7 linked regions of the Macaca mulatta genome follow. The protein of the gene in region 1 interacts with the protein of each later gene in a pairwise test. Links are inferred from orthologs where the notes say so. Each region holds a gene or a part of one and is shown in the gene's direction. Other genes may lie near its edges.

Region 1 (3,573 bases):
TGTTGCCCAGGCTAGTCTCAAACTCCTGTATGCAAGCGATCCTCTTGCCTTAGCTTCCCAAAGTGCTGAGATTAACAGGCATGAGTCACACACCCAGCCCATTATCAGTGTTTTTGAAGCAGGAAAACACTTGATGATAGCAAGATGCTGTAATACTAAATGCCAGAGGAGATGACATGGATCATACATAGTTTCAGATTTCAGAACAGGAAGAGTGTAATGGCCTGGGCAGATTAAGAAAAACTTGGAGGATGTGTGTCTTGCAGTGGACATTAGAAGAAGATGAATAGAGCTTTGATGTGCAGAGTAAAGATCTTATAGAATGGATAAAAGAGTGATTTGGGCTGGGTGTAGTGACTCACACCTGTAGTCCTAACACTTTGGGAGGCTGAAATGGGAAGACTGCTTGAGCCCGGAAGATGAAGTCTGCAGTGAGCCATGATTATGCCACTGTACTAGTCTGGGTGACAGAGTGAGACCTCATCTCAAAAAATACAGTAAAAAATAATTGTAAAAGAGTGATTTAAAAGGTAAGCATACTGATACAGGTTCCCAGTCCTTTACCCACAGTTCTAAAATCCCCAATCTCTGAAAGCCACAACCTTTTTCATTATTTTGTAGGAAATTACAGTATCAAAACGTGAATTTATGTGGTGCTGTTTAGAGTCTATCCTTCATTATGTAAACATTCGTGGATCTCATAGCAGATCTATTAATATTTCATTATAGAATGCTGCGCCAGACCCTACCTGTCTAAAACCTGTAATATTCTGAATTCTGTGAAACTTTGGGCCCCTGAAGTTTTCAGAATAAGGGATGATGAGCATGTAAGAAAACCTCAATTCAGTGTATCTGCCAGGCACAGTGGCTCATGCCTGAAATCCCCATTGCTTTGGGAAGTTGAGGTGGGAGGATTGCTTGAGGCCAAGAGTTCAAGACCATCCTGGGCAACAGTAAGACCTCGTCTCTACAAAAAATTTTTTAAAATTAGGGTGGTAGTGCACACCTATAGTCCCAGCTACTTGGGAGTCTTAGGCGGGAGAATCACCTGAGCCCAGGAGTTTGGGGTTACAATGAACTATGACCACACCACTGCGCTCCAGCCTGGGCAACAGGACCCTATCTCTTAAAATCGGTTCATAATGGATATTGTGGCTTCAGATGTGAAAGAAAAGATATGGGGCTAAAATTCAGTATTTTCAGTGTATTCTGGTAACCAGCTAATCCAAGCAGTAATTTTTGAAATGTGAAGTTTAGAATATATTCTAAATAAAATACGTGCAACCTCTAGTGGCAAACTCTCATTCGTGGGGAGGTAGTAGAAAGGCACTGAGTGTTCTAGAATAGGCTCTCCTGGCCCGTGGCTGACTCTCTTCTTTGTGTCTCTGCAGTGGACGTGACTCTGGACCCAGACACGGCCTACCCCAGCCTGATCCTCTCTGACAATCTGCGGCAAGTGCGGTACAGTTACCTCCAACAGGACCTGCCTGACAACCCCGAGCGGTTCAATCTGTTTCCCTGTGTCTTGGGCTCTCCATGCTTCATCGCTGGGAGACATTATTGGGAGGTAGAGGTGGGAGATAAAGCCAAGTGGACCATAGGTGTCTGTGAAGACTCAGTGTGCAGAAAAGGTGGAGTAACCTCAGCCCCCCAGAATGGATTCTGGGCAGTGTCTTTGTGGTATGGGAAAGAATATTGGGCTCTTACCTCCCCGATGACTGCCCTCCCCCTGCGGACCCCGCTTCAGCGGGTGGGGATTTTCTTGGACTATGATGCTGGCGAGGTCTCCTTCTACAACGTGACAGAGAGGTGTCACACTTTCACTTTCTCTCATGCTACCTTTTGTGGGCCTGTCCGGCCCTACTTCAGTCTGAGTTACTCGGGAGGGAAAAGCGCAGCTCCTCTGATCATCTGCCCCATGAGTGGGATAGATGGGTTTTCTGGCCATGTTGGGAATCATGGTCATTCCATGGAGACCTCCCCTTGAGGAGGTGGATTCAGGCCAAAAGGGCTGTTGGCTGTAATCCTATGCCAGGCACAAGGCATCTTGTTGCCTTGCCACGTCCTGTCACAGCTGGGTATACTTACCATGTTCCATGCCCTTGCAGTGGGAGACAGGATGTCCATGTTCTCTACCATCCTTTTCCTTCCCGTGCAGATTGTGAAATGTAATGAGATGTATCAAGATATCCTAGAAATAAAAACCAGATGTCCACCTCCAGTGTTTCACACTTTCTGGTTTTACACATTGCTGGAGGGATAAAGAGTATGGATAATCTTTGGATTTGGAGAGCCATTCCAGATACTTCCACCTTCTTGGCTCAGCCTGGCTTCCTCTGGTTCAGCCCCACATAATGATTATGGCTGTTTGCTGTCATTTCTGGGTTAGGGCTCCTTTCTAACAACCTAGACTGGAACAAGGCCCTGTCAGCATGGCTCCGTTATCCCAGTTTTTCCATCTGGGAACAGTACCTCTGCCCCTGATTCCCAATCTGCCATAGTTTTATTAACTCCATTAAAGAGGCCTGTATGTGTTTTGGTTAGTTACAGTTATTTTACAATAATGGTGGGTAATGGCCCCACCTCTGTTATGAGATAATGTTCTAATCAATGTCTCTGCCTTTGTATCTTTTCTGAGGGTTTTGTCTGCTCCCTTCATTCTAATGAAAGGTGTATTCTAGTGCTGGGCGCATATCATCCAGGATAATATTCTGCCCAACTCCATCCTCTGTTACTAGATCCCTTACCAGTCACATTTGTGGACTGGTGGTCAGTGGTATACCATCCCTGGAAGGATTCTGAGACAATATTCCAGGGATTCATTGACTTCTTGGCTCCTTTTCTCCATTTCCTTTGGGGGATAGGGGAATTGACCATTCTTAAGTGCATACTGTCAAGGGGCAGCTCCACCCCCATGGCCATTGGATCATGAGACACTCTGAAGTCAGAAGGCTGGGGCAGATCACTTCAAGCAAGCCCCCATGATGGTTCTCAGTCCTGCTTCTCTTTGGGTACATGCCCCTCTGTTTAAAAATAAAGTGAATATGGATGTTTACATTGTTGTTGCTTTCTGGGTGTTGGTAGGATTGGGTTCAGATGTTGGAATGGGTGTGGGGAGGAAATGGTTAATGGTGTTGCTTTCCCATATGGGTCCCAAAATCCCACTCTGGCCAATAGTTTACTTCAAACTGGAAAATAAAACTACTTTCTCCGTATGATATCACTACTTTCTAGAGGTGCTAAGAAAGTAGTGTTGGACATTCATAGCCTACAGTTCTTATATTGATTAACCCTGTAATTTTACTAGGAAAGTATTTTCTCAAGTCCTTTTTGTAGTATTGTGCCAGGCATTGGGGTTCCATGGCTGAGGTTCATGAGTTGGTGATATCATGTCCTAATTCTTCATTTACTCATCAGGTTTTAAGGGAGCTATAGAAAGTAGCTTCCATGAGGCTAGGTTAGCTTTTGCTGAATATTCTGAGATCTAAATGTATGCAGTTATATATATATATATACACACACACACACACACACACACACACGTACATAAATACTACTAACAAACATAGAGCA
Region 2 (4,220 bases), on another chromosome or scaffold:
TCTTGTTTTGTTTTTTTGTTTTTGAGACGCTGTCTTGCTCTTTCACCCAGGCCAGAGTGCAGTGGTGCAATCTTGGCTCACTGCAACCTCCGCCTCCTGGGTTCAAGCAGTTCTCCGCCTCAGCCTTCTGAGTAGCTGTGATTACAGGCACCTGCTGCCATGCCCGTCTAATTTTTTTGTATTTTTAGCAGAGACGGGGTTTCACCAAGTTGGCCAGGCTCGTCTTGAACTCCTGACCTCGTGATCCACCCACCTCAGCCTCCCAAAGTGCTGGAATTACAGGCGTGAGCCACTGCGCCCAGCCAGTGTTTTGCTTTTGTGCACGCTTACTAAATTTTCCAGTACTTGATTCCTATGGTCCATGATAGTAAACACAGAAACATATAAGGAACATTGTTAGAGTTACCAGATGTTAGCTGTTGCATATGTGCACGTTCCTAGATTCAAGGGTGTTTCTGCCTTAAGTTTAAGTGGGTCATTGGTTGTCTTGGGAAGATCATGGAAAATTGGGGATTTTTTAGACCAAAATATGTTTTGAGTGTTTCTTAGATTAGTAAATGTGTGATCTTCCACCTTCCACATTCAGACTGCGGACTACACTTCATAAATGCCTTTTAATTTCCAACTGTTATGGATTCAACTAAATGACTGTATGCCTTGGGAGCACATAATTACTTTGCTACCTTTTTCCGCCTTTGCTGTCGTGGCTTGAGTTTGGTTCATACCTGATAAGATGTATTTAGCATATGCTGTTACCCAGCCCTGGCTTGATGGTGTCCTGTGGGGGCAGAGGTGGGAGGACGAGGGGCACGGGGCCAGAGCATGTGAATGAATCATGGTTGGACAGCTGTGACCTGCCAGCACTGCGGGTAAGCCAAACTACAAACCGTTCTTTCCTCTGTGAAATTGAATAAACCTTAATAAAATTCATAATTAGCACATACTAGAAAAAATGTGACGTATCTTTTTGTGGGGTGACAGTATTGGGTTTCATTCTGGCTATACAGCTTTGATTGGATCATTAAACAGGAAGGTCAGTCACTTCCCTCAAGCTTTGGGGTGTGGAATAAACACGGGTGAATTCGTGGATTCACCCGTCAACCTCCCAATATCAACACATTTCTCATGCCTCCGCGCCGGCCACGTGTCAGCCCTCAGAAGTGGGCAGGAGGAACTTTTAAGCGTCTCGGCAGTTCCCAAGAGGGCCTTTGAGCCTGGCGCCCTCTTCCTGGAGAGGCGTTGGGGCAGCTCCTAGCAACGTGCCCACCGCCGGCAGAGGCCCGGCCCCGCCAACGGCCGCGCGCGGCTCCCTGGGAGCTGTAGTTCCTCACGTCGTCCCTGTCTCCTCTGTGCGGGCAGGTGAGCAAACCGCCGACTACGACTCCCAGGATGCCTCGCGCCCGCCTTTCCGCGGGAGGCCGGACGGCTGAGGGTGGCAGCAGCGGCTGGAAGCGGGAGGCCTGGCCGGGCTGGGCGACCTGAATGGAGCCGGGGCCGGTGCTGGTCCCAGCGGCCGCACCTCCGGGGACACGGCGCGTAACGGGAAGCTTCAGGGGCTGGGAGCATTACAGGCTGCTCTCGGGGGCCATATAGGCCGGGCGCTCAGAAGGGTGACGCATTGAGGGGCGCGGAGTCTCGGGACGGAGGGGACGGAGGGGCTACTCCGGTTAGGGGTCTTGTTTAGGGGTGGTCTCGGGATCTGTAAAACGCCTGGCATGGAGTCGGCTGAATAGAGGTAGGGACGGGGTTACACTGTAGCCCTTTGGCCTTGGCAAACCACGCCTAGAAAATCCCCATAGTTTGAAGCCCGTACAGGATTGATAGGAGATGCCAGAAGTTCCATGATGTGTTATGGGACACATTTGGACTTGTAGGTCGTGATGTCGCCATTGCAGAGAAAAAGAAACACAAAGCCGGGCACGGTGGCTCATGCCTGTAATCCCAACACTTCGGGAGGCCAAGGCGGGAGGATCACTCGAGGCCAGGCGTTTGGGACGACCCTGGGCAACGTAGGGAGACCCGTCTCCACAAAAAAAGTTTTAAAATTTGCCTGACATGGTGGCGTGTGCCTGTGGTCCCAGCTGCTAGGGAGGCTGAGATTGGAGGATCGCCTGAGCCCAAGGAGGTCGAGGCTGCAGTGATCTGTGAGAGCTGTGATCGCGCCACTGCACTCCAGCCTGGGCAACAGTGAGACCGTGTCTGGAAAAAAGAAAGAAAGAAAGAAGGCCAGGCGCGGTGGCTCACACCTGTAATCCCAGCACTTTGGGAGGCCGAGGCAGGCAGATCACGAGGTCAGGAGTTCAAGACCAGCCTGGCCAACAGTGAAACCCCGTCTCTACTAAAAATACAAAAATTAACTGGGCATGGTGGTGCACGCCTGTATTCTCAGCTACTCGGGAGGCTGTGGCAGGAGATTCGCTTGAACCCGGGAGGCTGAGGTTACGGTGAGCCAAGATTGCACCACTGCACTCTAGCCTAGGCAACAGAAGCAAGACTCCATCTAAAAAAAAAAAAAAAGAAAACACATGTATTCAATTATTCAAGGTGGACTCTGTAGGTAAGCCCAGATAACCCTTGCATTCCAATAACAGGACAGGCCAACACCTGGGACAGAGAGAGGACCCCTCTGACTCCTTTCTTCCAGGACATCCTGTAGGTGGGTTTTGGTAAAGTGGAGGAGGGGGAGGGAGAGAGCTAATTCTGAAGAAAACTGTTCTCAATGGGTCAGATTTACTGCCTATGTAAAGGGAAATATTTCCACTGTCAGTGAAAATCGTGTTGCTGGATGTGGTGGCTCATACCTGTAATCCCAGCACTTTGGAAGACCAATGCAGGAGGATTGCTTGAGCCCCAGAGTTCAATAGCAACCTGGGTAACACAGTGAGACCCCATCTCTAAAAAAAGATTTTACAAAGAAAAAGAATATCAAAGAGTAACCAGAGCTCACACCTGCTTTTGTGCTAAATGCTGCTTAGAAAGTAGTCATGGGTGCTGCCTGGGAAAGGGTTTCAGCCTTGGTGCCAGGTACCCACCTCCTTTCTGAAATGAGTACTTGCCACTTGCCGCATCAGCTTTCAGGGTAAGGGATCATGGCCACTGCCCTTTTTTCTTTTTTTTTTTTTTTTTTTTTTAAGACGGAGTCTCACGCTGTTGCCCAGGCTGGAGTGCAGTGGCGCGATCTCGGCTCACTGCAAGCTCCGCCTCCTGGGTTCACGCCATTCTCCTGCCTCAGCCTCCTGAGTAGCTGGGACTACAGGCGCCCGCCACCGCGCCCGGCTAATTTTTTGTATTTTTAGTAGAGACGGGGTTTCACTGTGGTCTCGATCTCCTGACCTTGTGATCCGCCCGCCTCGGCCTCCCAAAGTGCTGGGATTACAGGCTTGAGCCACCGTGCCCGGCCAACTGCCCTTTTTTCAAGTAATCTCAAAGCTTTAGAAAGCCCGTTAAGTTCTCCAGAGCACTTTTTTTTTTTTTTTTTTTTTGAGACAGAGTCTCACGTGTTGCCCAGGCTGGAGTGCAGTGGGGCGATCTTGGCTCACTGCAACCTTCTCCTCCTGGGTTCAAGCGAGTCTCCTGCCTCAGCCTCCTGAGTAGCTGAGATTACAGGCATGTGCCACCACACCCAGCTAGTTTTTGTATTTTTAGTAGAGACAACATTTCACCATGTTGGTCAGGCTGGTCTTGAACTCCTGACCTCAAGTGATCTGCCCACCTCAGCTTCCCAAAGTGCTGGGATAACAGGTGTGAGCCACCGCGCCCAGCCTGAGAGTACTTTGTTCCTCTTCTGAAGTGCATCCCCTATAAGGAATTTTTAATTTATGGAAATGGGTTTTACCTCTTGAATGGGCAAAGTGAGAGAAGCTTTGATAAACCTTGGATTCATGCTCTGTTAAACCATCTTTTTTTTTTTTTTTTTTGAGATGGAGTCTTGCTCTGTTGCCTAGGCTAGAATGCATAGCATGATCTCAGCTCACTGCAACTTCCGTCTAGCGGGTTCAAGCGATTCTCCTGCCTCAGCCTGCCAAGTAGCTGGGTGCCCACCACCACACCCAGCTAATTTTTTGTATTTTTTGGTAGAGATGGGGTTTTACCATGTTGGCCAGGCTGGTCACAAACTCCTGACCTCAGGTGATCCACCTGCCTCAGCCTCCCAAAGAGTTCTGGGATTACAGGTGTGAGCCACTGCGCCCTGTCTCTCTCTCTCTCTTTTTTTTTTTTTT
Region 3 (4,383 bases), on another chromosome or scaffold:
TTAGAAACCACTTCCTTTTCTAAAAATTATTATCTTTAGAGATAGGATTTCACCATGGGGCTCAGGCTGGTCTCCAACTCCTGGGCTCAAGTGATCTGCCCCGACTAGGTCTCCCAAAGTGCTGGGATTACAGGCATAAGCCACCGCGCCCGACCAGAAACCACTTTCAAACTTACTTTCTACTTAAAATATTTTATACTTTTTGTTTTGTATTGTTTGAGACATAAACTTGCTCTGTGGCCCAGGCTGTATGTAGTGCAGTAGCGCGATCTCGCTCACTGCAACCTGCGCCCCCCAGGTTCAAGCGATTTTCCTGCCTCAGCCTCCAGAATAGCCGGGATTACAGGCGCCTGCCACCACACCTGTCTGATTTTTGTATTTTTAGTAGAGACGGGGTTTCACTATGTTGGCCAGGCTGGTCTCGGACTCCTGACTGCAAGTGATCCGCCGCGCCAGCAAAAGCGTTTTACTCTTATCTGTACTCATTTACACATTCAATATTTATAGAGTGCCTACTATCACCAAGCACCTTTGTAGGCCTAGGTTTACAGAAATAAGGCTCCCCCTCCCCCATCCCAGTCCCCTGAAGGGCACTATAATTTCTATTTCTCCAGTTTTCAATTTAATATATATGAATTTTCACACGCTTCAGTTCAGTGGTTCTCATAGTGTGGTCCCCGAACCAGCACCAACAGCAGCAGCAACTGGGAGACTTGTTAGAAACGCAGTCTTAGGCCCGCTCCACACTCTAGGGATGGGCACAGGAGTGTGTGTGTGTGTGGTGTGTGTGTGTGACAGAGAGTGTGTGTGTGTCAAGCTCGGTATTAAATAGGTCAAAGATCAACATCTGACTTGTAAACCCACCCTCAGGCCTCTCCACCGAGTACCTGTCTCAAACCCAATCTGATCCAACAATAACCAGCCTTAATTCGATAATCTGTGCTACCTGAGATGATGGGAATAATCGTGGTACTATAAATGTTGCAGAACAAAAACGACTGCAGTGGATTTTCTGGGGCTACACCAACTGAAAATGGGCCGGACCGAGATCCGCGAGAGCGTTTTCCTGCGCTAGACACGGCGTTCAGCCTCCGGGTTCCGGGTCTAGCTGAGTCAGGGCGGCGTTCCAGCCGAGTGCGGCTTCGGGAACCCGTTCGGCTGCGCGCGAACCTTCGGTCAGAGGCCAGCGCTGGAAGCCCCGACCACAGCACCTGGGTTTAAACAGGAGCGGAGGCGCCGGGTAGGACCGGGCGGGCAGGCTACGGCCGGCCACCTTGGAAGCCGCGCCCTAGCGGCCCCAGACGCCGGCAGGGCGGAGCCACGCGGCCGCAGCCCCAGCCGAGACGCGAGCTCGTGGCTCGGGCGTATGGGGGCTACAACGGGAGCGGCTGCGCCGCCCGGCCGGGTCAGCGTCGTGCGCATGCGCCGACCCGGCGCCATTTTGGTGGCCGGGCGCGGAGGTGATTCCACACTGAGGCGAGCGCGGCGGCCGGGGTGGTAGTGGCAGTGTTCGTGTGCTCGGGTCTGAATCGCCGGGGGAGGAGGCGGTGGAGGAAGAGGTGGCGGCGGTGGCGGTGGTCGTAGCGGTGGCGGAGGAGGCGGGTACGAATCAGCTGCGGGCGGAGACATGGCCAACATCGCGGTGCAGCGAATCAAGCGGGAGTTCAAGGAGGTGCTGAAGAGCGAGGAGGTCAGAAATGAACTCCCGGATATCCCCCATCTCTGCCTGGAGCGGGAGGGTCCTCCCAGCTGCGACCCCGATATCCTCGGTAGTCCCTGGGTGGCCCTCCTTGCGGCCGCCCTTCTGCCTGTGAGGAAGCAGCAGTGTTCCCCTCCTCCTTCCGCCGCCTTCCCCTCCCCTCCCAGAGCGCTAGGATGAACGGTCTCGCGGGCGGGTGGTCTGGGGTGGAACACGGTTTGGGGAGCTGATGGACAGGGGGGAGCTCCTCGGAGGGATGGAAGCTCACGAGAGAACCCGAGGCGGTGGCCACAGCTGGAAATGTGGCTGTGGGGTGGGGAGGGAGCAGGCCGAGCCTGAGAAAACCCGGGAAGTGGGTTGGGGGAAGGGGAAAGGTGGTAACTGGATACGAAGAGCAGTGCTGCTCAAAGGCCCACACTTTTGAGGGTATTTGGGGTTATTGCTTGTCAGGCCTTCACTGTTCTTTTCGTAGGGGAGGAGCGGTGAGTCCAAAGGTATTGATTAGAAAGGAAGGACATTCAGAGTTAGTCCTTCTTAGTTGGGTGTTAGGAGTCAAAGGGAGACATAATAGAATACTGTCTTATTTGGTGGCGGGGGTAAGGGAATTTTCACCTGAGTTAGCAAGTTATTCCAAACGAGATAATTATGTCTTCCACTTAACCCCCAAATTCGTAGGCCTCATTTTTATTGACATCACAATCTTTTTTGAGTGGGCAAAGGCGAGGTGTTTGGTGTATTAAAGACATGTAAATATTTTTAGTTAGGAAAAAAATAATGGGTTGTATGAGTAGTTTATTTCAAAATATTGTTTACAAGTTACCGATCAGACTGTCCTAAGACAGTGCCTCTGTGACTCGTGTTGTGCCACGAAACTTCATTATGATGTCCCTCATAGGTAACTTGATTCTTACTTTTGAAAAGTAGACCTATTAAAAATGTGAGATTTCACCAGATTAATACATTATTTCATCTCCTTATTGAGTAGATTTATCACGACTTAACAGATTTTCAAAAAAATTGCCTGCCATTGCTCTTAAGTTCTGCAGAATTTATATACATTAGTACTACGTTTATGTAAGATATTCACAATGCTCTAGTAATTTGACTCAAAATTATGCAAGTATTAGTACAGTGTGTCGTACCAAGATGAACAAGAATGCCAGATTGTCTTCCCCACATGAATTAAACAAAAAGTAATACAGAAAATGATTATTTTCAAGATTCACATACCATTATTGAATATATCATTGCTATTTTTGTTTTTCTTTTACGGTTAGTACTTTGATAGTGTCAATAATGATTTGTGAAATTCAGCATTCTAAATATGTGATGAGTATACATGGAGAAAAATTATTTAAAATTCAAAAATGACAACAGACTTATTGAAAGTAGTAGTATGTAAGTCATGATCGGTTTTACAGAGCATGTGTATGAACTCTGACCTCTGTGTTCATATGCCAAAACTCTGAATGGAAGGATGACTTTGTATTTTGTGGTACAGCGCAGAAATAGAGTCAATAAGTGTCTGTACTGATACAGTGAAACAGCAATTTTAACTTATTTAATATGAAAATGTATTCCAGGTTAGCTGACATACATACTCCTAATGAAAGATAGCAGCTAATATTGTTGCCAACAACCTAAAACATTTCTTGTTTAATAAGGTTGTACAAGCCTGAAACTTAATAGACTTTTAGTGCTTTATTTTCTGTTACAAGTGGTAAGTTACTGCTTTGGTAATTAATATGGTCTCTTTGCTTTTTATGAGCTCACTTTTCACTGTGAGATTCGTAGTACTTAAGTTGAAGATTACCAGAAATACTTGTATTGCTCTCTAGTAATGCATATTGTTAAAACAAACAAACAAACAAACAAAAAAACACTGCTCTTTATACATAAGGGATGAGGAAGCCTTACTTCAGATAAGCATCAAAAGTGTTTCAGAAGAAGAAAACAGGAAATGCAGACAGGTTTTTTGTTTGTTTTGTGTTGTTTAGAACAGTACCTGTATAAATATGGAAGGAAACTTCTTTTGGGAAAATCAGTTGCAAAGAACATTTAGGAAAGAGTCACATCATTTAATCTTGCAATAAATATAACCAATAAATAGCTTATTTTCGCCAGTATTTTTTGATATTTTAGTAGCCCCAGTTCTATAAGTGGATTATTTTCAACTCATTGAAGACTTGTAGTATAGTCCGTGTGTTTCCTTTTTAAGGGTGTAAATCCAGTCTTTTGAATGGCTGATCAAATAAATATTTCATCATGTCACTTTTTTGGTAAATCTGCACTTTACCAAAATTTATTTCATGTGCTTGTATGCTTGCGTTTACTAAGAACACTGGTTGATTTAAGGACTTTTTGGGGTGGCCTTGTAAGTGCCTTTGTAAAGATAGCTGACGCTTACTGGATTCTGGTTATGAGAGATTATAAGTGACCATTCTTAGAGTGTGTTAATTAAAATACAGCCAACAAGATAAATGTGAAAAGCAAGATGCAGAATAGTGTGGAAGAAGCCACCATTTGTGTTAAAAAGAGGGGAATATGTGTATTTGTCTTTATAGGCAAAAGGTTTCACAAGAAATTGGTAAAATTGATTGCTTTCTGTGTAGAAAAATTGGGTCTCTGGGGCATGGGGTATAGATATTTTTTTAATTTTGTGTCATACGAATGTGATTTACTCA
Region 4 (3,630 bases), on another chromosome or scaffold:
TGGTTTAGTGGTCTGTATTCCTACTACACAGTAAGTGGCTGGAGGGTGCAGAGATGAGCTTTGCACATGTCCCATTCCCAGGACTTACCATATGTCCTGGAACATGATCACTACTCACCAAAGCTTGTTCCAAGACACGTTTGCCCCTCCACGTGTCAGTGGGTCATTCAGGAGAGCCCCTGGCTAAAACACATCTATGTGTACCTGCCTTCTAATCTGAGGACTGGCAGCCCCTGGGCTCCTTTTGCCCTTCTGCTGTCTCATTTTCTGCATGATTTTCTTCTGCTTTAAGCAATTTTGGTGGCTCCTTCCCTGCCTTCCGTCTATCCCACTCCCGTCTAGTTTTTTCTTATTCAGTTACAGAAGTGAGCCTGGCCAAGAAAACAGAAAAAAGACTTCCCTCTTGGGAAACCTGGCTGTCCCAGGAGCTTGTGAAGGTTCAGCCCTGTGCTGGCAGTTCCTGCCCTGAGTCTGTTCTTCTGGCCCAGGTCTCTTGGGTTCACTTCCCAGACCAGGCCTGGAAGTATGCTAGAGTGCTCACTCTTGTATACTTGTACACTCTTGCTGGCACTTCCTGCTGACGTGGGAAGACCCTTTCCCTAGTGTTGAGTCAGAGCTTTCAGAGCCCTTCCCAACTTCCTGCCTGGCCCGGTTTTATACATGCTGCCCAGCCTGTTGCATTGAAAACATGGAGGGCATGGTCTACCTCACTCCAGACCTGAGAGAGGAAAGGAGGCCTCCAGACCCATGTCTAGCCTGCCATTTGGATTTGACCAGGACAGTATGTAAAGAAATTTAAAAGCACTAGGGTGCTGTAAACTTCCAATTTTAGTGTAAAACATACGAGATAATCGGTGTTGTGATTTCAGATGAAAGTGCTAAATCGTGCCATAGAAAGACAGCATCATCTTGGTGGACAGATCTGATCCTAAAAAAAACTTTAAACTCCCTGTCTATTTTATTGACTCTTGTATCCCAAGTGCCAAGGCACATGGTAGACACACAAATATTTTTGTGGGAAAAAAATTGGGGCCTTAGTTTAGTAAGTGCAAATGTGGAATGCAATTTTGGGCCCTCTGTCTTTAAGTATTAGTGATAGCAAATGAGATTTATAGAAAACTGATATGATGGGAAAACATAAAAATATTTGGAGTAAAACCAGTTGCCTGCTTCTCCATTACCCTTCCCTCTCCATGCACACATACTAATTTCTCCTGAATTTTCATGGTCTGTTTGAATTAATGAAATTTTAACTTAAGCTTGTTTATTATTGTTGTTGTTGTTGTTGTTTTGTTTGCTTGTTTCAAGAGACGGTCTTGTTCTGTTGCCCAGATTGGAGTGCAGTGGTGACATCACAGCTCACTGCAGCCTCAGCCTCCTGGGCTCAAGCAGTCCTCCTGCTTCAACCCCCCTAGTAGCTGGGACTACAGGCATTTGCTGCCATGCCCGGCTAATTTTTTATTTTTGTATTTTTTTATTATTATTTTTTGAGATGGAGTCTTGCTCTGTCACCCAGGCTGGGGTGCAGCAGCACAATCTCAGCTCACTGTAGCCTCTGCCTCCTGGGTTCAAGCGATTCTCCTGCCTCAGCCTCCCGAGTAGCTGGGACTACAGGCATGCGCCACCATACTTGCTAATTTTTGTATTTTTAGTAGAGACAGGGTTTCACCATGTTGGCCAGGCTGGTCTCGAACTCCTGACCTCAGGTGATCCACCTGCCTCTGCCTCCCAAAGTGCTGGGATTACAGCGTGAGCCACTGCACCCAGCCTTATTTTTGTATTTTTTGTAGAGATGGGGTCTCATCATGTTGTCCAGCTTGGGTTTTGAACTCCTAGCCTCAAGCAGTCTTCCCACCTTGGCCTCCCAAAGTGCTAGGATTATAGGCATGAGCCACTGTGACCAGCCTTTTTTTTTTTTTTTTTTTTTTTTTTTTTAGCATTAAAAGCAAATTATTTGGCTGGGCATGGTGGCTTACGGGTGGGATCACTTGAGGTCAGGAGTTCGAGGCCAGTCTGGCTGGCATGGCAAAACCCTGCCTCTACTAAAAATTCAAAAATTAGCCTGGAGTGTTGGTGCACGCCTATAATCCCAGCTACTCAGGGAACTGAGGCAGGAGAATCGCTTGAACCCAGGAAGCGGAGGTTTCAGTGAGCTGACATTGTACCACTACACTCCAGCCTGGGCAAGAGAGTGAGAAGCCATCTCAAATAATTAAATAAATAAATAAAGCAAATGATTTACTCTTTTTTCCTCCACATGCTGCATCATTATTTCCAATAAATAACTTCAGTTAGGGCCTCCGAAGACTTTGAGAACTCAGTGAACACATGAACGAGTGAACAAACGAATGAATGAATGAAAGTTTTGTGTTTGTCACAGATGTGAGAGACTAAGTTATAGCTTATAGCTTCCAAAATGTGACTTCTTTGTTATCAGTTGAGGGAATCTGCATAATTCCTTAGAAGTACTCTTGATTGTTAATCCCTCCAGGCTAAAAGAAGGAGACTGTTTCATGTAAGATTTTATTCAAGTTAATTTCAAAAGAAAACACAGGACACAGATTTTCCCTTTCTTGAAGGAAATGTTTGGAGTTCCTGTTGGATACATAAGCAAGCTGGTTAATTAGGTTAATTAATTGGAGAGAGGGGATGGGAAATGCCCTTGGGAGCTCTGCATCCTGCCTATGTACCTCACACGCACACCCTGCGCAGGCACACTGGCTTTCCACTCACTCCTTAGAGGCATCAGGGTCTTGGCTGAAATGAGTCTCTAGCTTTGTCCCACTCAGACACCGACTTTAGGTTTGTGCTGGCATGGGGTGGCACTGGTGGTGGGGAGGGTGGGAAAGCATGCCGAGATGCTCCTGATCAGACTTGTCCCCAGGCTGGGGGGTTGGCAGAGGCATGACCAGCATGTCCTGTTCCTCCCTCCTCCCTGGAGATCGGATGCTCCCTACCCCCAGCTTTAATCAGAAGCAGTTGATTATACCATGTTGAGTAGGGCAGACCTTGAATGGGGATATGAAAATCAAGCCAATCAATCAACATTAGCAGTAATGATACAAGCTGGTCCTGTCGCTTCCTGAGTTGTCTCAACGTTATTTTAAACTGCCTCTTTGAAAAATCTTTCTTACAGAAAGGAAGAGGTTTTATCAGAATGTCAGCATCACACAGGGTGAAGGTGAGTGTCTGAAATTTTGACTGCCTCTTTTTTTTTTTTTTTTTTTTTGTGAATGGTCGGGAACATTTTTCATCTTCAGCTGGTTCCGTGGTGAGATTATCCTTCCTGCTTTTGTCAGATATATTTCTGTAAGGGACTCAGAGTTGGCTTTGTCTGCACCAATTCAAGTGGCTAAATATAGGAATGGTCACTTGATTCCACTTAACAAATCCCTGAGAGTTTTTCATTTGATCTTTCAAGGTGGCTTTGAGATAAACCTGGACCAGAGGAAGCTGAAAACTCCCCAAGCCAAGCTCTTTACCGTCCCCAGTGAGGCCCTGGCCATTGCAGTGGCCACTGAATGGGATTCCCAGCAGGATACCATCAAGTACTACACCATGCACCTGGTAACAAGTTCACAGTGCGAATCTGGACCCTGAGACCCACCCAGGGCTTCCTAGGGTAGATCC
Region 5 (4,355 bases), on another chromosome or scaffold:
ACTGTTTTAATCTAAGGATAATAAAAAAGAGAACTAAAATTCATTTAAGGCTTTTTTTGTGCAGAGCCAAATCTTAGCATTCTATATACTCTATAGATTATTTAATTCTTACATTAACTCTGTAAAGACAGTATTATTTCCACTGTCTTTATTATTTTAAAAATTATTATTTTAAAGATGGAGAAAATAAAATGCATAGATTTTAAATATTCTCTGTTTTCTTCCTAATACATGAAACTTCTTGTCCTTTCCTTTGCCTTTTAAACTTTGTTAAGGTTGTGCCTTTTGCCGCCTCCTTTCTTCCCTCTCCGTGTGTTTATGCTTCTTTCCAGGCCAATATAAAATGTCATCTTCCTTTTGAAAATTCTGTGTCCCTTCAAATTAGAATGACTCCTCAACCCCCATCAAACTTAGTTTTTATTTCATTTATAGTACTACTTTCTGCCTTCATTATTATTTGCCTACATGTCTTGTCTTTTATAAAGTTTGAATATCTGAAGAGCAGGATCTGTATCCTGAAGACCTCTTGTATCTAGTACAGAACAAGATACCTAAACTTAGATGGGTGGATAGATGAGTAGGTAGGAGGATAGATGCATGGAAAATGTGTATTTTCTGATCTAATGTTTTGCAGATTACCTAAAGCTAATCATCACAATTTTCTAAGTCTGTGGATGATTCCTAGGGCCCCAAACATGACACAGTAAACTCTATGACATGATGAAAAAAAAAAAAACAGCCTCCACACTTTTGCTTACATGGTTTTCTTTGCTTAAAGTACCTTTATCCCTCAGTCCTTCATTTCTTTATCTTAGGAGTGAAACTGCTTTTGGGAAGCCTTCCCCAAGTCTGTTAGGTGGAATCTATCATTCCATCCACTGTACTCCAGCAGAACATTATGTGGACCTGCATGTCACACTTACTCCTTTTACTGTGCGTAATTCTCCTGTGCTTTTCTGTTAGTGTAAACTGTAAGTTGTAAAACTCACCAAATATGAAAGTAATCATTAGCATTTATTAAAGTATACTACTTCCCTGGTGCTATATACTAAGCACATCATATTTATCTTGTTATTTAGCCCTTACAATAACCATTATTCTACAATAATAGATTGTTCTACAATAATAGAATAAGGTAGACACCATTTTTCTATTTTACAGATGAGTGATGGGGAAAGAGCTTTTGGAAGTTTGAGTTACTTCCTTATGGTCATGCAACTAAGTAAGTGTCTGAGATTCCAGAATCTGAATTATTACCCTCTATGCAGTGTTTTGTCTTGTTTGTTTCCCTGTCACCCTCACATGACACATAATAGACCTCAATAAAATAGTTAAGTAAGTGAATGACTGAACGACTGATCATAGCTATTCTCTAAATGTTTCTTGAGTGAATTGATTTATATAATCAGAGGAAAATGAATAATGGTTTCTTTTTCTCTTTAGCAGGAATTTTACCCTCTAGGGCATGAATACTGTGCTGTTCAGTTCTGAGCTGTGCTAGCAGTACCCTTCAAAGGAATAGCAATGGCTGCAGCAGCAGCTTCTCACCTGAACCTGGATGCCCTCCGGGAAGTGCTAGAATGCCCCATCTGCATGGAGTCCTTCACAGAAGAGCAGCTGCGTCCCAAGCTCCTGCACTGTGGCCATACCATCTGCCGCCAGTGCCTGGAGAAGCTATTGGCCAGTAGCATCAATGGTGTCCGCTGTCCCTTTTGCAGCAAGATTACCCGCATAACCAGCTTGACCCAGCTGACAGACAATCTGACAGTGCTAAAGATCATTGATACAGCTGGGCTCAGCGAGGCTGTGGGGCTGCTCATGTGTCGGTCCTGTGGGCGGCGTCTGCCCCGGCAGTTCTGCCGGAGCTGTGGTTTGGTGTTATGTGAGCCCTGCCGGGAGGCAGACCATCAGCCTCCTGGCCACTGTACACTCCCTGTCAAAGAAGCCGCTGAGGAGCGGCGTCGGGACTTTGGAGAGAAGTTGACTCGTCTGCGGGAACTTATGGGGGAGCTGCAGCGGCGGAAGGTAGCCTTGGAAGGTGTCTCCAAGGACCTTCAGGCAAGGTATAAAGCAGTTCTCCAGGAGTATGGACACGAGGAACGCAGGGTCCAGGATGAGCTGGCTCGCTCTCGGAAATTCTTCACAGGCTCTTTGGCTGAAGTTGAGAAGTCCAATAGTCAAGTGGTAGAGGAGCAGAGTTACCTTCTTAACATTGCAGAGGTGCAGGCTGTGTCTCGCTGTGACTACTTCCTGGCCAAGATCAAGCAAGCAGATGTAGCACTCCTGGAGGAGACAGCTGATGAGGAGGAGCCAGAGCTTACTGCCAGCTTACCTCGGGAGCTCACCCTGCAAGATGTGGAGCTCCTTAAGGTAGGTCATGTTGGCCCCCTCCAAATTGGGCAAGCTGTTAAGAAGCCCCGGACAGTTAACATGGAAGATTCCTGGGCCATGGAGGCGGCAGCCTCTGCTGCTTCTACCTCTGTTACATTTAGAGAGATGGACATGAGCCCGGAGGAAGTGGTTGCCAGCCCTAGGGCCTCACCTGCTAAACAGCGGGGTCCTGAGGCAGCCTCCAATATCCAGCAGTGCCTCTTTCTCAAGAAGATGGGGGCCAAAGGCAGCACTCCAGGAATGTTCAATCTACCAGTCAGTCTCTACGTGACCAGTCAAGGTGAAGTGCTAGTTGCTGACCGTGGTAACTATCGTATACAAGTCTTTACCCGCAAAGGCTTTTTGAAGGAAATCCGCCGCAGCCCCAGTGGCATTGATAGCTTTGTGCTAAGCTTTCTTGGGGCGGATCTACCCAACCTCACTCCTCTCTCAGTGGCAATGAACTGCCAGGGGCTGATTGGTGTGACTGACAGCTATGATAACTCCCTCAAGGTATATACCTTGGATGGCCACTGTGTGGCCTGTCACAGGAGCCAGCTGAGCAAACCATGGGGTATCACAGCCCTGCCATCTGGCCAGTTTGTAGTAACTGATGTGGAAGGTGGAAAGCTTTGGTGTTTCACAGTTGATCGAGGATCAGGGGTGGTCAAATACAGCTGCCTGTGCAGTGCTGTGCGGCCCAAATTTGTCACCTGTGATGCTGAGGGCACCGTCTACTTCACCCAGGGCTTAGGCCTCAATCTGGAGAATCGACAGAATGAGCACCACCTGGAAGGTGGCTTTTCCATTGGTTCTGTAGGTCCCGATGGGCAGCTGGGTCGCCAGATTAGCCACTTCTTCTCGGAGAATGAGGATTTCCGCTGCATTGCTGGCATGTGTGTGGATGCTCGTGGTGATCTCATTGTGGCTGACAGTAGTCGCAAGGAAATTCTCCATTTTCCTAAGGGTGGGGGCTATAGTGTCCTTATTCGAGAGGGACTTACTTGTCCGGTGGGCATAGCCCTCACTCCTAAGGGGCAGCTGCTGGTCTTGGACTGTTGGGATCATTGCATCAAGATCTACAGCTACCATCTGAGAAGATACTCCACCCCATAGGGGATGAGAAATATCATTTTCTTCTGCTCCCAAGCCAGCTTCCCTTCCCATAGTTCTTGGTTGTTAGTGGCACATAGAGAATAGACTCGGCATATGTCCTGATTCCAGCTGGGTAGTTCTAGAACTTTAGAAGCTCCATCTTTTTATGTTTTTTATTTGTTATTTTCCCCTCCCCACTTCCCACCTAAATTTAGAGCTTTAAAAGATGCACTGCCCAAATAGGACACGCAATGGTGTTAGCTGAAGTTTGATTAGCAATTAGGCACTTCCAAGGCTTTAGTAGAGAGAGCCACTTTAGCCCTTTGTGCCATGTTTGAAATGTGCCCTTGTATTAAATCCTTGATTTTTTCCCGTTTGGCTCTGATGCCCTTGATCCATTGTTTCCTTCCTATTACAATGTGCTTCATCTGTGACACTTTCTCTTCAACTCTGATTGGATTCACTGTGCATGCTTCAGTGGGATATGCTCCACCTTTCAGTGACATTTCAGACATATTCCTGTAACATTATGTCTCAGTCTGATCGTCTTTACCAGTGTGAAAGCTCATTCATTTAGTGCTACCAAAGGGGATACACAGGCCCTTTAGGAAGCAGTACCTCTCGCCTGGAGGATCTGTGCCATCTTGGATTGAGAACTGCAGATGTGACAGAATGGATTGACCCTAGTTGGTTGGTATTGACGACTTCAGCCTGGAAATTGCTTGCCTTTTAAAGAAGCATAATATGGATTGGAATTATGCCAAAGCATAGGAAGCTAGGAATAAGCAAACAAATGCTGATATAGTCAGCAAACTTGGATAGTCTCTAGGGCTCATCGTTTTTCATACTACCTCTCTCTTCTGGCCTGTGTCTAAGGAATTGTACAGCAT
Region 6 (4,282 bases), on another chromosome or scaffold:
ACTCAAGAGATTGGAAAATCAGACTGTGGATGGCTAAAATCAATGTAAACATCTCAGTTTTTATAATGGGAAGTACCCTGATTAGCGAGTTATCCTCATTGCAAATATAAACAATTCAGAAGACTGTAAAGTGTAAAGTCCTTGAAACTGAAAGTCCCTGATATTAATACTATTCATTCACCATAGATAAATTCTATTTTTTTTCTTTTTTTGAGACGGAGTCTTGCTCTGTCGACCAGGCTGGAGTGCAATGGCACTATCTTGGCTTACTGCAACCTCCGCCTCCCGGGTTCAAGCGATTCTCCTGCCTCAGCCTCCCGAGTGTCTGGGACTACAGGCGCGCGCCTCCACGCCCAGCTAATTTTTGTATTTTTAGTAGAGACGGAGTTTCACCATTTTGGCCAGGCTGGTCTCGAACTCCTGACCTCGTGATCCACCCGCCTCGGCCTTACCAAGTGCTGGGATTACAGGCCTGAGCCACGGCGCCCGGCCCTAAATACTATTTTAACAATATGGTGTCTTTTCTTCCAGACTGCCAGTAAATGAACAAACACATGATTAACACAAAAACGATACCATATGGACTCTTTAAACTTTTTTTTTCAAATTTACTATATCAGGGAATTAATATATCTTTTCGAGCCAATAGATATAGGTCTTCCAATTTAAAAGATTAAGTTACAATAGAGTGAGATTTGGTGTGCTATCCCTTTCGGAAAGCGTCCTCGATGCGGTCATATTGGAATTAACCTCCACTCCCCTCCTCTTCTCTGGGCTCCCGCGGACTCCAGGCTGAGTGCTGAAGTGTGGATTTTCACACCCAAACCTCTGTTATTTCAGTGTCTCACCTGGCTTCTCCACAGCGCAGAAGCTCAGCCCCAAGTTGGAAGAGCCTCCCCGGGAGATTCACAGCGAAGCGCTATTCAGGGCCCAACTCCAAGCCCAAACCTAGCTCCACCCTAAGCCGCCGCCAAAGACCCCTCTTCTCCCAAACCTCACCGGGGCCCCGCCCCTGACTCCGCCCACGAGAGCCCAAGCCTCCAGTCCTGCCCCACCCCGGGCTCCACCCACCAGCCGGGCTCCGCCTACCCGGAAGCACGCAGTCCTCCTCGTCCCGGGCTCCGCCCACCGGGAGTTCTCGCCGCTCACCCCACCCCGGACCCGCCCACTTCGCTTGGGCTCCACCTTCCCAGGAACTGGCGCCGCTTGCCCGAGCTCTGCCCATTTCGTCCCCGGCTTCCCGCGCTGAGAACTCGTGCTGCGAGCCCCGCCCACCGCGCTCCTGGCCCCACCGCCCGGAAACTGTCCCGGCCGCCCCGGGCTCCTCCCACCCCGCCCTGAGAGCCCGCGCGTGCCGCTACACGCCCGCCCTTTCCTACGTGTGGTCCAGTCGGTCTTCCTCCGGCGTCGGCGCTGGCTGAGCTAGCTGGCCATGGAGGGTAATGGCCCCACTGCCGTCCACTACCAGCCGGCCAGTCCCCCGCGGGACGCCTGTGTCTACAGCAGCTGCTACTGGTGAGGGGGCGCGGGCGCAGCCTCTGGGTCTCCCTGGCTCCCGGGCCGCGAGTTGCAACCAGGCCCCGCCTCTTCCCGGCCCCTGCTCGGGGGCGCTCCCGGCCTCTACCGGCGGGTTCTACAGTTCTGCGGGAGTAGGGAGCGGGAATGGCAGCTCTTGTCTCTTGAGTAGAGCGTGGGCTGTTGGATGGGGTTGGGAATTCGTCCGGAATCCTAGGGTCGATAGTGCATTACCTGTGCCTGGCGCTTGTCGGTTGGATTTGCTCAGCAGATCTCTGCTTCGGGGCTAGGGAGGGTGGAGCTCTGAAAACCTTTGGAAGTTACTCTGCTGAAGCATGTGGGGTTTCAGACTGAGGCGAAGGTCATTTTAATTTTGGAAGAGAATGGAAGCACAGAGAGTTTGGGATAACTTCCCAAGGTCACCCAGCTAATAGCAGCCAGGAATCCAGTTCGGGCTCTCTGGCACCAGAAACCATGATCTTAACCATGTTGTCATTATAATAATGGTTACATTCACACAGCCCTTGCTATATGCCACGCGTTGTTCTGGGTGGTTTAGGTAAACTAAATCACTGAGTATCACAATAACCCTAAGAGGTAGGTATTGTTATCCCCAGTTTAAAGATGAGAGCACTGAAGCACAGAGGGCTGCAAGTAATTTGCGCAGGGCCACATCACTTGTGAATGAAGGAGTGGGGATTTACAGGCAGAGTCTGGCCCCGGAGTCCATGCTCTGCACCCCTGTCCTAGGCCACCTCTGCAGCTGAAGCACCGCCCCTGCCTTGGTCCTTTTTCATTCCCATGCCTACTCTTTCCTGAGTAATGGTTTCTTCCCCAGCTTCTTCTAGTCCTTGCACAGGAACCCTCAGTGCTATCTAAAACTACCCTTCCCCCTTCTGCTTGTCACTAAATCAATGCCACCGAGCATTTGTTCGGCCCTGATTGCATGTCAGGCTCAGTGGCAGGTGCTTCCATCGATGTCCATGAGTAGCTTCTTTTACTATCGTTATCCTCATTTTACTAATAAAAAGAGTGAGCCACAGAGAGGCTGTTGTGTGCCCCCAGATCACACATCTAGCAAGTGGTGGTGCTGAAACTGGAACATCTTCGTGATTTTGAAGTTCATGCATCTTAACTGCTGCACTCTTTTTCTGTCCTGCCTCTTCTAAATCCCGTTAGTTCTCCTCCCTAATGTCCATTGTTTTATTCATTCATTCAATAAATGTGTATTAGGCACTTGGAGTATGTGGCCCACTTCTGGGCACTGGAGATACAGCAGTGAACAAGATGGACAAATTCACTCATGGATCCCTTGGTTCTTGTATTTTGATGAGAGAAAAGCAGATAAGGTCCGGTGCGATGGCTCACGCCTGTAATTCCAGCACTTTGGGAGGCTGAGGTGGGCGGATCACTTGAGGCCAGGAGTTTGAGACCAGGCTGGCCAACATGCAGAAAGGCTGCCTCTACTAAAAATACAAAAATTAGCCAGGTGTGGTGGCACACGCCTGTAATCCCAGCTACTCGGGAAGCTGAGGCAGGAGAATCGCTTGAACCCGGGAGGAGGAGATTCCTGTGAGCCGATGCCACTGCACTCCAGCCTGGGAAACAGAGCGAGATTCCATCTCAAAAAAAAAAGGCAGACAAAAACAAGTAAACCATGTTTGGGTGGTGTTAAGTGCTGTGAGAAAAATAAGATAAAGGATGGTGGCTTATTTTCTATTAGGATATTTTGAGAAGACATTGTTGATAAGGTGATATTTGAACAGAGATCTGAAAAAAGAGGGTGAGAGCTTTGCATCTATTGGAGGATGGTCATTTAAGCAGGGAGAACAGCAGGTACAAAGGCTCTGAGAAGGAATTGTGCTGTATGATAGAAACAGTGAGGAGACTGGTACAATTGGAGTATCAGAGTTAGAGCAGTCTTGTAGAAGAATGGTAAGAGTTGACCACTCTACCGCAGGATTTCTCCGCCTAGGTTCGAGTGACATTTTGAGCATGATAATTCTTTGCTATGGGGGCTGTCCTGTGTATTGCAGGACATGTAGCAGCATCCCTGGCCTCTACCCACTAGATGCTGTTAGCACCCTAGCTCTAGTTGTGACAACCAAAAATGTCTCCAGACATTGCTAAGTGTCCTGTAGGGCTTGGGGGGCAAAATCGCCTTTTGCTGAGAAACAGTGCTCTACCCTGTCTGAACATGTCAGGTGGGGGCACTGCACTACTTTGGCTCCTGCAGCTTTGTGGGGTTTTTTTATTTTTGAGACGGAGTCTCAGTCTATCACCCAGGCTGGAGTGCAGTGGTGCCATCTCGGCTCACTGCAACCTCTGCCTCCCAGGCTCAAGCCATTCTCCTGCCTCAGCCTCCCGAGTAGCTGGGACTACAGGCACCCACCACCATGCCCGGCTCATTTTTGTATTTTTAGTAGAGATGAGGTTTCACCACAGTGGCCGGGCTGGTCTCAAACTCCTGACCTGAGGTGATCCACCCGCCTCGGCCTCCCAAAGTTCTGGGATTACAGGCATGAGTCACCATGCCTGGCCATCCTGCAGGTTTTTAAACTTGAAATGAGTGCCTCCTGTCTACTTCTGTTAGCTTCTGTCATGTTAGCTTCCAAATGTTACTTATGCTTCAAGACCCTGCTTAATGATAATAGTGGCAGTTGGTATTTGTTTGGGACTGTGTCGTCGGCAGAGCATTTCTGATTCTGACTTGTTTTGTGTTTTTCAAACAATTGTGGAGTGCCTGCTTTGTGCCAGGGATCCCCGC
Region 7 (4,093 bases), on another chromosome or scaffold:
GAGGGAAATAATAGGTAAAACTAATACTGGAAGATATAATAGCTAATAAATTATATAAATGGATGACAAACCTCAAGCCATTGATTCAAGAAGCTCAACAAACCTCAAGCAAGATTTTTTTTTTTTTTTTTTTTTTTTTTTTTTTTTTTTAAGACGGAGTCTCCCTCTATCACCCAGGCTGGAGTGCAGTGGCGCCATCTCAACTCACTGCAACCTCCGCCTCCTGGATTCAAGATTCTCCTGCCTCAGCCTCCTGAGTAACTGGAATTACAAGTGCCCGCCAGCACAAGCCACCGCACCCGGCCCTTTTTTTTTTTTTTTTTTTTTAAATTAATAACATTTATTTAAATCTGGATGGTGGTTATGTGGACAGAATACGTTTAGACTTAAGATGTTTACGTTCTGCTGTAGTAAATTAAATATCAAAAAAGTACGTATGGAAGGGAGGTAGATGAGGGATAAAAGTCTACAAGTTGGATTCAGTGTATACTGCTCGGGTGATGAGTGCACCAAAATCTCACAAATCACCACTAAAGAATTTATGTAACCAAGCCGGGCGCGGTGGCTCAGGCCGGTAATCCCAGCACTTTGGGAGGCTGAGGCGGGTGGAACACCTGTTTTCCACATTAATTCAATCAATATACTCCTCCTATCTGAAACCTGTTTCTCCTGCTTCGAGTTTGTAGACGTGTAGTGTTCATGGTTGCCTAAACTCCCTTTTCCCCATCAACTTCAACTGCTAGTGGCAAAAATGGCTGATACTGCTTGCGTTTTTGGGGTAGGAAAATCGGCAAGGTATTTTCATTCACTGAATGTAATGTAAATTACGTGTACGGTACAGGGCAATGAAAAAATTCCGATAGCAGAGGATGGTTTCGATCCATCGACCTCTGGGTTATGGGCCCAGCACGCTTCCGCTGCGCCACTCTGCTATCTGAAGGCCAACGTTCTCATAACTGTTATAGAAGACCACGTAGTCGTTGTCCTGACTTCTTCAGTGCCACCTAATGTCTGATCAAAAATTCGTCATTACTATAGAACCAGTTCTTATTGGCTAGTTCCTGACACAGTAGGCGTTTTTTATTGGTTCATAAGCCCGGTTTGACAAAGTAAGCCAATAGGCATAAGCGATGGGGTAAGGCGGGAGCCAATCACGCCGGGTTTTATTGGGACACGCCGGCAAGACTCCTCTTCAGTTGTCTGCTCCTCAGAGGAAAGGGGCGGTTGGTGCGGCCTCCATTGTTCGTGTTTTAAGGCGCCATGAGGTAAGGGGGTCGAAGTGGTCGAAAGGTTTCAGGTATTCGACGGAAAACTTTGGGAACGTGGGTCGAAAGAAGTCGGAGTACCTAAAAGGACCATGTATCCGGGAGCTGGCCAAAAACCTGAGAACTCCTGGTCTAAGAGAGTGGGAGAGAGTGAGGCCGGTAGAGGCGGGGAAACGGGCCCGGGATGGGGTTGGGGCCCAGGAGTGGGGAGGCGGGTTCGACACCTCTCTCTGAAGGGTTGCGATGAGGAGGTGTCCTCAAGTCCCCGGAGGAGCTCCCCACCTTCCCTCCGCCCCCGTCATCCGGGCTGAGAATGCTGGAGCGAGCCGCATTCATCCTCAGTGCGAAGGGCTTGACATATAGGACATGCCCGATAAATGTGTACGTTAATGAAGAAATGAGCAATCTTTAGCTTCCGAAGTATTAGGATTCGTGTGGCCCAGGATTATGGGTTATTTCGTGTAGGGCTCACTGTCTGAGCCCCATCATTACTTGATGGGGGGTTGTGATTAACTTATCCAGAATGAGGAGGTTATGGGGGTGTAACTGGGCACCATTTGGAATGGGGAGGAGTGTGTGAGTGGGGTCTCTTGCCTACCGTTGGGAGGTTCCGAGGGATGAAAGTAGCCAACTTAAAATGATATGGCCGGTGGGTATTCCTTCAATGAGATCAAAATAAAATCTGCATTTCTAGGGGTGACAGAGGCCGTGGTCGTGGTGGGCGCTTTGGTTCCAGAGGAGGCCCAGGAGGAGGGTGAGTGCCAGCTTTTAGCATCTCTGCACTTAGTTGTTAGTTTCTGCTTGTCATCTAAATAGGAGTTTTGGAATAGACTAATGTCACTTGGTTTTGTGAGAGCCAACTGTGGTCTTTTCCGCACTCCTGCTAAATGAATTTGGCCCCACTATGCTAAGAATGATTCTCTCCCTCCCCAGAGACTTTGTCACTCATTCTGAGGTCTGACATGTTTTCAAAATTGTTGGTGTGTTATTTAAATCTCACTTGATTCCTACATAGGGAATAATTTGGCTGTTTTTCATGTTTTAGGTTCAGGCCCTTTGTACCACATATCCCATTTGACTTCTATTTGGTGAGTACCTTGGGTTAATAATACACAATTTCTGGCCATTCTTGAAATGGAGCCTAGTATCTCCCAGTTAATGAAGTTAGATAGTGGTTGAAGAGGGCAGGCACAGTGCCTCACACCTGTAATCTCAGCACTTTGGGAGGCCGAGGCGGATGGATCACCTGATGTCAGGAGTTTGAGACCATCCTGGCCAATATGGTGAAACCCCATCTCTAGTAAAAATAAAAAAGTTGCTTGGGCGTGTGCCTGTAATCCCAGCTACTTGGGAGGCTGAAGCAGGAGAATCGCTTGAACCCGGGAGGCGGAGGTTGCGTGAACTGAGATGGCACCACTACCAAAAAAAAAAAAAAAATGGTGATTGAAGTGAGGGGGAAAGTGATTTTTGAAAAGACTTGGGGTTTTGAGTCAACTGTGTGTTGCTTTACCTACAGAAACAGTGTAAGCATGGTGGGGAGAATAATTCCTTGACTACTGTTGGCATTAAACATGATTATAATCTTTGTTCTGAACAAGTAATCGTATCTACGGCTAATTTGTTACTATAAAGATAGTGATAGCTTAAATTATGGCTATTCCAGCTTGTATCCTTGTTTGAACATTTTTTCTTTTTTTTTTTGAGACAGAGTCTCACTCCGTCACCCAGGCTGGAGTGCAGTGGTGCAATCTTGGCTCACTGCACTGAACCCGGGAGGCAGAGGAATCAGGACCTCTGCCTCCCAGGTTCAAACAGTTCTCCTGCCTCAGCCTCCCAAGTAGTTGGTATTATAGGCGCCATGCCCAGCTATTTTTTGGGTATCTAGTAGAGACGGGGTTTCACCATGTTGCCCAGGCTGATCTTGAACTCCTGACCTCAAGCGATCTGCCCACCTCGGCCTCCCAAGGTGCCGGGATTACAGGCGTGACCCACCATGCCTGGCCTTTGAACAAAATTTTTTTTTTTTTTTGAGGCAGGGTCTTACTGTGTTGCCCAGGCTGGAGTGCAGTGGCACGATCTTGGCTCACTGCAGCCTCGCTTCCTGTGTTCAAGGGATTCTCCCACCTCAGCTGGGATTACAGGCGTGAGCCACCATGCCCAGCTAATTGAACAAATTAAGGAGTAAAAACAAGTGTAGAATTTTCTATTTTTAACCTTTTTCTGTCGTAGTAATAGAAAAAACAATCTCTCCTGTATATTATTTTCGGCAAATGGAATGTAGTTGTTTACTTCTGGTTTAGTGTGAAATGGCCTTCCCCCGGGTCAAGCCAGCACCTGATGAAACCTCCTTCAGTGAGGCCTTGCTGAAGAGGAATCAGGACCTGGCTCCTAATTCTGCTGAACAGGTATGTTCTTTTGGCTGTCTTCCAGAAATGTCTCTAAAGCAGGTAAAAGTATTGGTAAAGAGTAACTGTTGGTAAGGTTAAGAATGGTGTTAACAGAGCCTGAAATCCACAGAGGGTTTAATTGTTCTCCTTATTTCTCATTGTGGGTGGAGACAGCCAGGTGGATATATAAACAAATTACATATGCATTCTTATTTTTATTGGGGATAAAGAGTTGTTCTCTTTCCATATATTCAAGGCCAGAATGAAGTGTTTTTAAAGTCCTAGGTCAGTATTGAGTCAGCTCGTATGGAAGGGATTAGGAGAAAATACTCAAACTCTGAGAATTTGCTTCTAATTTTTCATCTTCGAGTATTGTTTCATGCTGTTTTTCAGGCATCTATCCTTTCTCTGGTGACAAAAATAAACAATGTGATTGATAAT

Evidence for each region.
Region 2: the proteins of TRIM27 (region 1) and FBF1 interact in binary tests that used the Homo sapiens proteins (3 or more experiments, as listed by UniProt). The two-hybrid records come from large-scale screens. The link is inferred for Macaca mulatta from reciprocal best matches to the Homo sapiens genes TRIM27 and FBF1.
Region 3: the proteins of TRIM27 (region 1) and UBE2K interact in binary tests that used the Homo sapiens proteins (3 or more experiments, as listed by UniProt). The link is inferred for Macaca mulatta from reciprocal best matches to the Homo sapiens genes TRIM27 and UBE2K.
Region 4: the proteins of TRIM27 (region 1) and ATPAF2 interact in binary tests that used the Homo sapiens proteins (3 or more experiments, as listed by UniProt). The two-hybrid records come from large-scale screens. The link is inferred for Macaca mulatta from reciprocal best matches to the Homo sapiens genes TRIM27 and ATPAF2.
Region 5: the proteins of TRIM27 (region 1) and TRIM32 interact in a two-hybrid assay, tested with the Homo sapiens proteins (2 studies listed by BioGRID and IntAct). The link is inferred for Macaca mulatta from reciprocal best matches to the Homo sapiens genes TRIM27 and TRIM32.
Region 6: the proteins of TRIM27 (region 1) and NTAQ1 interact in binary tests that used the Homo sapiens proteins (3 or more experiments, as listed by UniProt). The two-hybrid records come from large-scale screens. The link is inferred for Macaca mulatta from reciprocal best matches to the Homo sapiens genes TRIM27 and NTAQ1.
Region 7: the proteins of TRIM27 (region 1) and ILF2 interact in binary tests that used the Homo sapiens proteins (3 or more experiments, as listed by UniProt). The two-hybrid records come from large-scale screens. The link is inferred for Macaca mulatta from reciprocal best matches to the Homo sapiens genes TRIM27 and ILF2.

The regions. Positions count from the first base shown.
Region 1 is NC_133409.1:154,437,025-154,440,597, forward strand, and holds the end of TRIM27 (zinc finger protein RFP), read left to right. Parts: intron 1-1,391; coding exon 1,392-1,987; 3' UTR 1,988-3,049; downstream 3,050-3,573. UniProt on the Homo sapiens protein: E3 ubiquitin-protein ligase that mediates ubiquitination of various substrates and thereby plays a role in diffent processes including proliferation, innate immunity, apoptosis, immune response or autophagy.
Region 2 is NC_133421.1:85,649,352-85,653,571, reverse strand, and holds the start of FBF1 (fas-binding factor 1), read left to right. Parts: upstream 1-1,415; 5' UTR 1,416-1,532; exon of another isoform or gene 1,533-1,610; intron 1,611-1,874; 5' UTR 1,875-2,557; intron 2,558-2,591; exon of another isoform or gene 2,592-2,656; intron 2,657-2,747; exon of another isoform or gene 2,748-2,880; intron 2,881-4,220. UniProt on the Homo sapiens protein: Keratin-binding protein required for epithelial cell polarization. Involved in apical junction complex (AJC) assembly via its interaction with PARD3. Required for ciliogenesis.
Region 3 is NC_133410.1:38,909,757-38,914,139, forward strand, and holds the start of UBE2K (ubiquitin-conjugating enzyme E2 K), read left to right. Parts: upstream 1-1,578; 5' UTR 1,579-1,627; coding exon 1,628-1,690; intron 1,691-4,383. UniProt on the Homo sapiens protein: Accepts ubiquitin from the E1 complex and catalyzes its covalent attachment to other proteins. In vitro, in the presence or in the absence of BRCA1-BARD1 E3 ubiquitin-protein ligase complex, catalyzes the synthesis of 'Lys-48'-linked polyubiquitin chains.
Region 4 is NC_133421.1:19,597,818-19,601,447, reverse strand, and holds part of ATPAF2 (ATP synthase mitochondrial F1 complex assembly factor 2), read left to right. Parts: intron 1-3,136; coding exon 3,137-3,181; intron 3,182-3,421; coding exon 3,422-3,567; intron 3,568-3,630. UniProt on the Homo sapiens protein: Plays a role in the assembly of the F1 component of the mitochondrial ATP synthase (ATPase).
Region 5 is NC_133420.1:41,594,569-41,598,923, reverse strand, and holds TRIM32 (E3 ubiquitin-protein ligase TRIM32), read left to right. Parts: upstream 1-1,443; 5' UTR 1,444-1,524; coding exon 1,525-3,486; 3' UTR 3,487-4,353; downstream 4,354-4,355. UniProt on the Homo sapiens protein: E3 ubiquitin ligase that plays a role in various biological processes including neural stem cell differentiation, innate immunity, inflammatory resonse and autophagy.
Region 6 is NC_133413.1:133,837,203-133,841,484, forward strand, and holds the start of NTAQ1 (protein N-terminal glutamine amidohydrolase), read left to right. Parts: upstream 1-1,370; 5' UTR 1,371-1,432; coding exon 1,433-1,515; intron 1,516-4,282. UniProt on the Homo sapiens protein: Mediates the side-chain deamidation of N-terminal glutamine residues to glutamate, an important step in N-end rule pathway of protein degradation.
Region 7 is NC_133406.1:113,368,532-113,372,624, forward strand, and holds the start of ILF2 (interleukin enhancer-binding factor 2), read left to right. Parts: upstream 1-1,172; 5' UTR 1,173-1,260; coding exon 1,261-1,265; intron 1,266-1,959; coding exon 1,960-2,019; exon of another isoform or gene 2,020-2,051; intron 2,052-2,310; coding exon 2,311-2,353; intron 2,354-3,546; exon of another isoform or gene 3,547-3,565; coding exon 3,566-3,670; intron 3,671-4,045; coding exon 4,046-4,093. UniProt on the Homo sapiens protein: Chromatin-interacting protein that forms a stable heterodimer with interleukin enhancer-binding factor 3/ILF3 and plays a role in several biological processes including transcription, innate immunity or cell growth.